Canis lupus familiaris: one gene and its partner. Each later gene encodes a partner of the first gene's protein in a complex. Links are inferred from orthologs where the notes say so. Each region holds a gene or a part of one and is shown on either strand. Other genes may lie near its edges.

What was found. The genes of interacting proteins can lie anywhere in the genome.
Region 2: the proteins of TGFBR1 (region 1) and GDF11 are in contact, whole or in part, in a crystal structure (PDB 6MAC), measured with the Homo sapiens proteins. The link is inferred for Canis lupus familiaris from reciprocal best matches to the Homo sapiens genes TGFBR1 and GDF11. Residues at the interface, in NP_004603.1 of Homo sapiens: Ile78, Pro79, Asp81, Arg82, Phe84, Ala87, Pro88, Ser89, Ser90, Lys91; in NP_005802.1 of Homo sapiens: Phe322, Ala324, Phe325, Gly326, Trp327, Trp329, Ile330, Met382, Tyr384, Phe385, Asn386, Asp387, Ile392, Ile396, Pro397, Met399.

The regions. Positions count from the first base shown.
Region 1 is NC_049232.1:56,544,941-56,548,591, reverse strand, and holds part of TGFBR1 (TGF-beta receptor type-1), read right to left. Parts: intron 3,505-3,651; coding exon 3,348-3,504; intron 1,513-3,347; coding exon 1,388-1,512; intron 1-1,387. UniProt on the Homo sapiens protein: Transmembrane serine/threonine kinase forming with the TGF-beta type II serine/threonine kinase receptor, TGFBR2, the non-promiscuous receptor for the TGF-beta cytokines TGFB1, TGFB2 and TGFB3.
Region 2 is NC_049231.1:498,119-501,769, reverse strand, and holds part of GDF11 (growth/differentiation factor 11), read right to left. Parts: coding exon 3,278-3,651; 3' UTR 3,277-3,277; intron 2,575-3,276; exon of another isoform or gene 241-2,574; intron 1-240. UniProt on the Homo sapiens protein: Secreted signal that acts globally to regulate anterior/posterior axial patterning during development. May play critical roles in patterning both mesodermal and neural tissues. It is required for proper vertebral patterning and orofacial development.

The sequences.
Region 1 (3,651 bases):
TAATAAATTAGCGAAGTGGAACAGGGCTTCTAGCTTGCTCTATCTCATCCACATCTGCATCAACAAGCATCAACAACCCATCTCTCTGAGTTGGTACTGGGCCCACACTCTGAAACTACATATCACTAGGGGATCAGCAAAGGCTATTTTAATGACGGTTAACTATGAGCTATGATGACTTGATTAACATTTTCACCTCATGTGCAAGAAATGATAGTTTTTAACCTGTGAGTGCTCACCCTCTCACTTGGTACAGGGGATATACACTCTACCATGGAGATGTAAATCCTACAAGCAAATCTGGGGTGCAAGTCCTTTACCTCTACTTGGATCTGTCCTCTTTGCTATATAATACAGAGACATGCTCTCCCTCTTATTGCCACATAAACCCAAGTCTCAACCAAGCCTGGGCCCCTAAGTATAAGAAACTATTCCGCAAGTAAATATTAAAAGTGCTCAATCTAAAACTAAATTTCAGCTAAAATAAACTTGTTTAAAAACTAGTGTAATGGTAATGTAACTGTATTCTGTATATGTAACTTCCAGCTAAGAAGTTGGAGAAAATAACACACTCTCAGGGGGGAAAATGAGTTTGACCCAGGTACATGCTGTAGAAACAGCTTCCTGGGTGGCCTCTCAAGCAGTCATCCATTATAAATAACTATATTCCAAGATAACAAGGGCTTGGTTTCTCATGTTTCCCAAGATTCAAATGGAAATAGAAAAAGAATACACTAGAATAAGCATGTCATATCATGTCATTTCCCCCCACTGCAAATTTTATCTCCATTATTTTCTTTGGCACTCTCAGTGATCACCTGGTGAATATAATTTCTGACTACTAATGTGTATAATTTCATTCAATGAAAAAAACCAAACAAACAAACAAACAAAAACACGACAGGGGTGCCTGGGTGGCTCAGTCAGTTAAGCATCTGCCTTCGGCTCCAGTCATGATCCCAGGGTCCTGGCATTGAACCCCGCATTGGGCTCCCTGATCAGTGAGGAGTCTTCTCCTTCTCCCACTCATCCTGCTTGTGATTGCTCTCTACCACCATCTCTCAGTGTCAAATAAATAAATAAAAATCGTAAAGGGAATCCCTGGGTGGTTCAGTGGCTTAGTGCCTGCCTTTGGCCCAGAGCGTGATCCTGGAGTCCCAGGATGGAGTCCCATGTCGGGCTTCTGCGTGGAGCCTGCTTCTCCCTCTGCCTGTGTCTCTGCCTCTGTGTGTGTGTGTGTGTGTGTGTGTGTGTGTGTGTGTGTCTCTCATGAATAAAAAAATAAAATCTTAAAAAAAAAAAATCTTAAAGAAAAAAAAAAAAAGCGGCTATCCTGGACCACCTTTTCTGTTCATGACAAACTGTTGGGAGAGGGGGAGAAATTTACCACCAATGGAACATCGTCGAGCTATTTCCCAGAATACTAAGCCCATTGCATAGATGTCGGCACGTTTGAAGGATTCAAAGTGTTTCATATTTATGGAATCATCTAGAACTTCGGGGGCCATATACCTAAAAAAGAAGTCAGCAATTTACTTTATGGAATAGTAGCCATACTACTTTTGAACTGTTTCACATATTTTCTTTTCCTACTGAGAATTTTTTTTATATATATTTTTTAAATTGGTATTAACTTTAAGACTTTTCTTCCCTTTTAGCATGGTTCTGCTTTTTAAAATGACTCATGCTTCTTATAGAAATTTTCTCAAAGTTCAAAAAGTACAAAGTGAAAAATCATTAATGCTTTGATGAACAACCTTTCAGGTATCTCTATTCATATATGGAGATACACACACACACACACACACACACACACACACACACAATATTATATAACTAAAATATTAGACTCAAGAAAAATATTAAATATCCACACTGCTTTGAAAATTAATGATGTCAACTAAATGCCATGAAAAGCTGAAACAGCAATTTCATGCTATCTTATCTGCCTTATGATCTTCATTTCCAATGAAAGACACCTATATAACAATCATGACTATTATAAATGTCTTAACATATACCACCCACTTTGTCAAATACTATGCAGGGATCATATATTTTAATCTAGAAGTCTTCTCACTAAAATAGGATGAAAAGGAAGGATGAGGACATAATCCAGGGAACAAAATAATAGATTAAAAAATGAATGCCAGTCCTCCTACTGATGCCTCATTGTAGGGTTTTGGAATTTTAAAAACCCTCCTGAAGTTACAGATCAGGATCCATGAAGAACTGTAGCAATCACTGTCTTGAATCCCCACATCAAGAGTTCTGAGAGTCCTCGTCAAATCCAGAAATCACAGATACAACTGAGATAGAATAAAGCTTGGCTCTATCCAAGGTGGAGGCAATAGTGTGAAGATACATTGTGGCAACATGCTGTGATATACACACTAAGGCCTTTGGGGTCAGAAAGGCCTAAATTCAAATCTCAGCTCTTCAGGTGAGGCTGACCTTTTTATTTAACATCTATGGGGCTGTTTCCTCTTCTGTGAAATGAAGGCAATGACACCTACCTAGTTATGTTCTTTAGAAAACTCATAGATTCAACAAATATTTACTAAGGACTTACTATGCATTAGGTGCTATAATGGATGCTGGGAATACAAGCCTGATCTCAAGCAGCTTGCAATCCAATGGAATATAAAGACAAGTAAATGGAGAGTTATAATGTGCTCAGTGCCTTAATGGCCCAGCTTCACAGCTTGCTATGAGAGCCCCTGGGAAGGGCGCCTCACAGTCCAGGAAGGGCTTCCTCTAGGAAAGGAAGGGTGACTATAAATCAGGGAAACAAGACAATAAAGCTTTTTGCAGCAAAAAAAAATAAAAAAATAAAAAAAATAAACCAGGGAAACAGCAGGACAAAGTCTGCTCTAGGATACAACACATGCAGAAATTCTAAGGAAGAAAGTATAGTTCCAGGAACTAAAAATAAGAAAATAGTTGGGCTAGCTACAGTACAGCATTTGAAGAGAGCATTAACTGAGAGAATGAATATATATATATATATATATATATATTAAGCAAGAACCAAGCATATATATATGTATGACCCATTAAAATGACTGGCACATACTGGGTACCCTATAAACATCAGCTCCTATTATTATTATAATTTTTCTGGAAGGGCCACGAATGATATTTTCTGGAAGGGCCACCTTTCATCAGCAGGCATCTTTAAAAGTCAGGTAACCTTGGCTTCAGAGCAGGCAAGACCATGAGATCTTCTACCTGTGGGCAATCTAATAAAGTACAGGTTTGAGTTTCAGAAGATAATCCACATAAATGAGAAGGAAATTAAAAAGAAGTTGAGCTCAGAAGATAATAAACACTATTTACAAGCATACCTTTTTGTTCCCACTCTGTGATTTGGAGCAATATCAATGGTATCTGTGGCTGAATCATGTCTCACTGCCAGTCCTAAGTCTGCAATACAGCAAGTTCCATTCTTCTTTACCAAGATATTCTTAGATTTCAAATCTCTATGAGCAATGGCTGGTTTCCCTAAAGAAACAAAAAGTAAATGCAATTGCTTAAAAAGTGATAGCAATCACAATTCTCCCCTTTAGGTTCAAAGCCTCTTCTCCTATCCCAGTGTCAAAGCATTTCAGCCCATAATACCTGGACAATTACTAAACAACCTCAAATGAA
Region 2 (3,651 bases), on another chromosome or scaffold:
TACAGAGAAGAGTTGTTCTAGGTGCCCTCCCCTTCCCATTCTCTGCCCATGCTCCTTAGGACTGTATGTCCTCACCCTCATCCCAAATGCCCCTAGTGGTTTTTTTTCCTTGCTCCAAAGACCCCCATGTTCCTACTCCTTGAGCACAAGGTTTCCTCCTCTCTCAGATCCTCTTTTGTTCCTGGTCTCCAAGGTATAAATGTGGCGCTTGGTTAGGGAGAAGAGTTCATCACTGAATTCTAAACTCTTTGACTGCTTTTATTTATTTATTTTTTTTCAGGTTCAAGTGCTGGATTGTGTCATGTGACCATCCCAAAACTCAGAGCACCCTATGGCCATCTTTGCCCTCTGTCACATAACTTGAAAACTGCTTGATGGCCTTTTTGCAATGGTTCCCTCCAGGAAGCCTTGATCTCAGTGAAGAAGTCCTTTCCCGGCATTCCAGTACCCCTGTCACCCCCATACTTCTCAATCACCCTTAACAAACAAAGGCAATCACACACGTGGTGTAACAAATACACAAAGTAAATAATAATTACACTACTTATGATCAGAGGGGCACTGGCCAGGTCCACACACATCATAAAGTGGGAAAGGGGTTGCTAGTCCCCACTAGGTTGCTTTACTGTGCCCCCAAACCTCTTTACCCCATGCCTCTTTGGGAGTGAGGAGGACCAAGGGAATGAGACTTCATAATATATGTTCAGAAGAAAAAGACCCTCCCCCCACAAAGGTCTTTATTTGGTGGTGTTAAAGGGGCATATTGTAAGTGTCCTCCAAGTCTAATGCTCCAGCTCTCTAGCATTTATAGAGGGAAGTCACCTGATGTCTATTGCCCAACCCCCACCCTGTGCCAAGATCAAGAGACATGAGCATTTGATCTTGGAGGAGGCATCTTCTGTTCTTCACTTCTCTGTTCCTCCTTCAACCAAGGAAATGTGAATGATGTTGATGGGTCAGGTGTATCTTGTTCTCCAAGACTGGGGTAGAAGGAAGGATAGAACGGCCAGAGAGGAGAGGCTAGAGGTTAGCATAGCTGTTACATGGGAGGTGAGTTGAACTGCTTAACAGCCCCTGCCCATTCCTGTACCAAATACTGCATCTCATTTTTTCACTATGGGAATGGGAATAAGATACTAAAGCTCACCAACATCACCTTCCCAAGGGTGGTCACATACCTTTGCCCCTTCCACCATCTGGGCCAGACAGGAGAGTCATACTCTTGGGAAGAACAAGCCTTCCAGGTCAGCTCTCCAGGCTTTAGTTCAGTACTGTTTGCATCAGACCCATAACTGCTGGCTCTACTTAGAGTGACAGTTTTGCTGAAGGTTCTGGACCTCCTCTCTTGACATCCTCTAGGCTCTTGTCTGGAGCCAAGAGGTCTGGTGGTGAGGTATGGATAGGGTGTGGATCAGGAGATTTCTCAACTCCTTGGCTTCAGGCACTGTCCATCTGGGAGGCAGAGGGGAACTTGTACTCTGAAGCTTGTGACTCCTAAGCCTCACATCTCTTCACCACTACTCTGGTGCCCTGGTTATCTGTCCCACAGCGAGAGGTATTTTATGTCCAATAAAGTGCCCGTGGTAAGTGCTCAGAATTCATCTCTTGGCTGTGGCGGGTGCTGCTATTTCTCATTCCATCGAGGGGAAGAAACTGAGGCACAGTGAGTCCAGAGGATGGTGGGTCAGGATTGTGGGAGGAATGAATAGGCCCAGCTAGTGACTTGGAGTGGCAACCAGTCCCTGCCTGCTTCCTAGCATTCCAAACCAGGGAGTCTCCATCCTTCCAATCCTCTGCTCTAACTGGCCTTGTCAGATGCTTTTCCCTTCCCCACTGTATTTGTTCCCTCCCTGCTGCCAGGTACTGCTAGATTCCAAAAATAAAAGATAAAAATAATTATAGACACTCTGCTCCCTTGTTCTCCCCCCTTCCACCCTGAGCTTTGGGGTTGGGGGAACTAAAATGTCCCCCTGCCCCTCCAGAATCCCTTCCATCTTGGTCTGCTGGCTCTATTCCCTAACCCAGAGCAGTGATTTGAATTCAAATGCCCTGTAACCTTCAATCTCCTTACTACTTTCTTGACCCCTCCTAACCCTTCCCAGACTCGTGACTCTGGGATCTCTATACTCTTATTGACCTGAAGATAGAGGCTGGGAGTAGGGGTATTCCACAGGCTCTTTGGTCTCTCTTGGCTGGGGGGAATTTGGGCATATGTGGGCCACACCCTCTGGCTAAATAACTCAGGACTATGAGGGTGGACCTGAGGGTTAGTTTAGTGGCTCTCATATAGATCCTGGATGTTGATGGCTCTCCCCTCCCCTTCCCCCTACCCCCAGCTCCTAAACCCTAACCTCATACTGTTTCTGTGACTGCTGGAATTCAGTACAACCCATTTGGCTCAGGAAGGTTAAGTTGGGTGATTATGGGTTGGAAACTCATGTGTCAGCCCTCTTGCCCTCTGCTCCCTTTCCCAACCCTGGAGGCTTTATACAAGTGCTTAAGTAGGTGGGTATTGAGGGAGAACAGGGTTTGGGGGAATAAAGGAGAAATGGGGCACAGTGGGCAGGGGCCCTTCTATTTCAGTAAAGCCAAATACCAAAAAAAAAAAAAAAAAAAAAAAAAAAAGAAAGAAAGAAAGAAAAAGAAAAGAAAAGAAAGAAAGAAAAGTCACAATAAATAAATAAATAAAATTCCCAAATCCTTACTTTTGCCCCTGCCCTCATTTCCCTTCCTTGGCCACTGGTGGAGGGAGAAAGGGAAGAAGCTAAGAATGGATTTTTGATTTCCTCCTACTGAGAATGGTAGTCAGGGGATCTCCCCAAACCATACCAAGCCCCTCACCTCGCCAGTGGAAGAAAGGAGGCTGGGTGTGGGGCTTTCTCTTATTACTCCATTTCAGCCTCTTTCTCACCATTTATCTCTGCCTGGTCTCTCTTCTGCCTCTCTCTCCCTTTGCCTTCTCACTGCTGCTCTTTTTGTTCCTCTGTCTCTATCCCTCTGCGCTACCTCTGTCTCTACGTCTCTCTGTCTTCTTGCCAAACCTTCTCACCTGCAAACCTCAAACACTCCCCACCTGACCATGCCCCCCTCTTCCCCAAACCCCTCACCCATCAGTCCCCACCTGCCTCCCTCTGTTGTATTGCACACTGCTTGGGCAGGGAACAAGGTGTGATGTTCATGGGAAGAGGTGGAGGGAGCTCTAGGGCCTGGGGGTCGGGGGGTCGGGCTGGGGGTCTAGGGGTAGGGTCTATGGGGGAGGCATCCTCTGTCCCCCACCTTAGGAACAGCCACAGCGATCCACCACCATGCCAGGGATCTTGCCGTAGATAATCTGCTGCTTGTCATTGAAGTAGAGCATGTTGATTGGGGACATCTTGGTGGGAGTACAGCAGGGCCCAGCAGAGCCTCTTGGATTAGCCTGTTGCACCAAGTGGGTGTGCGGATACTTTTGCATGAACATGTACTCGCACTGGCCGGAGCAGTAGTTGGCCTTGTATCGTTTAGGCGCGATGATCCAGTCCCAGCCAAAAGCCTCAAAGTCCACAGTGAGGGGGTATCGGCAGCAGCGAGACTCACTCGAGTGCTCATCGCAGTCCAGACCCAGATTCCGCCGGGACCGTTTTGTGTTCTCTAGGACCCGAAGCTCCATGA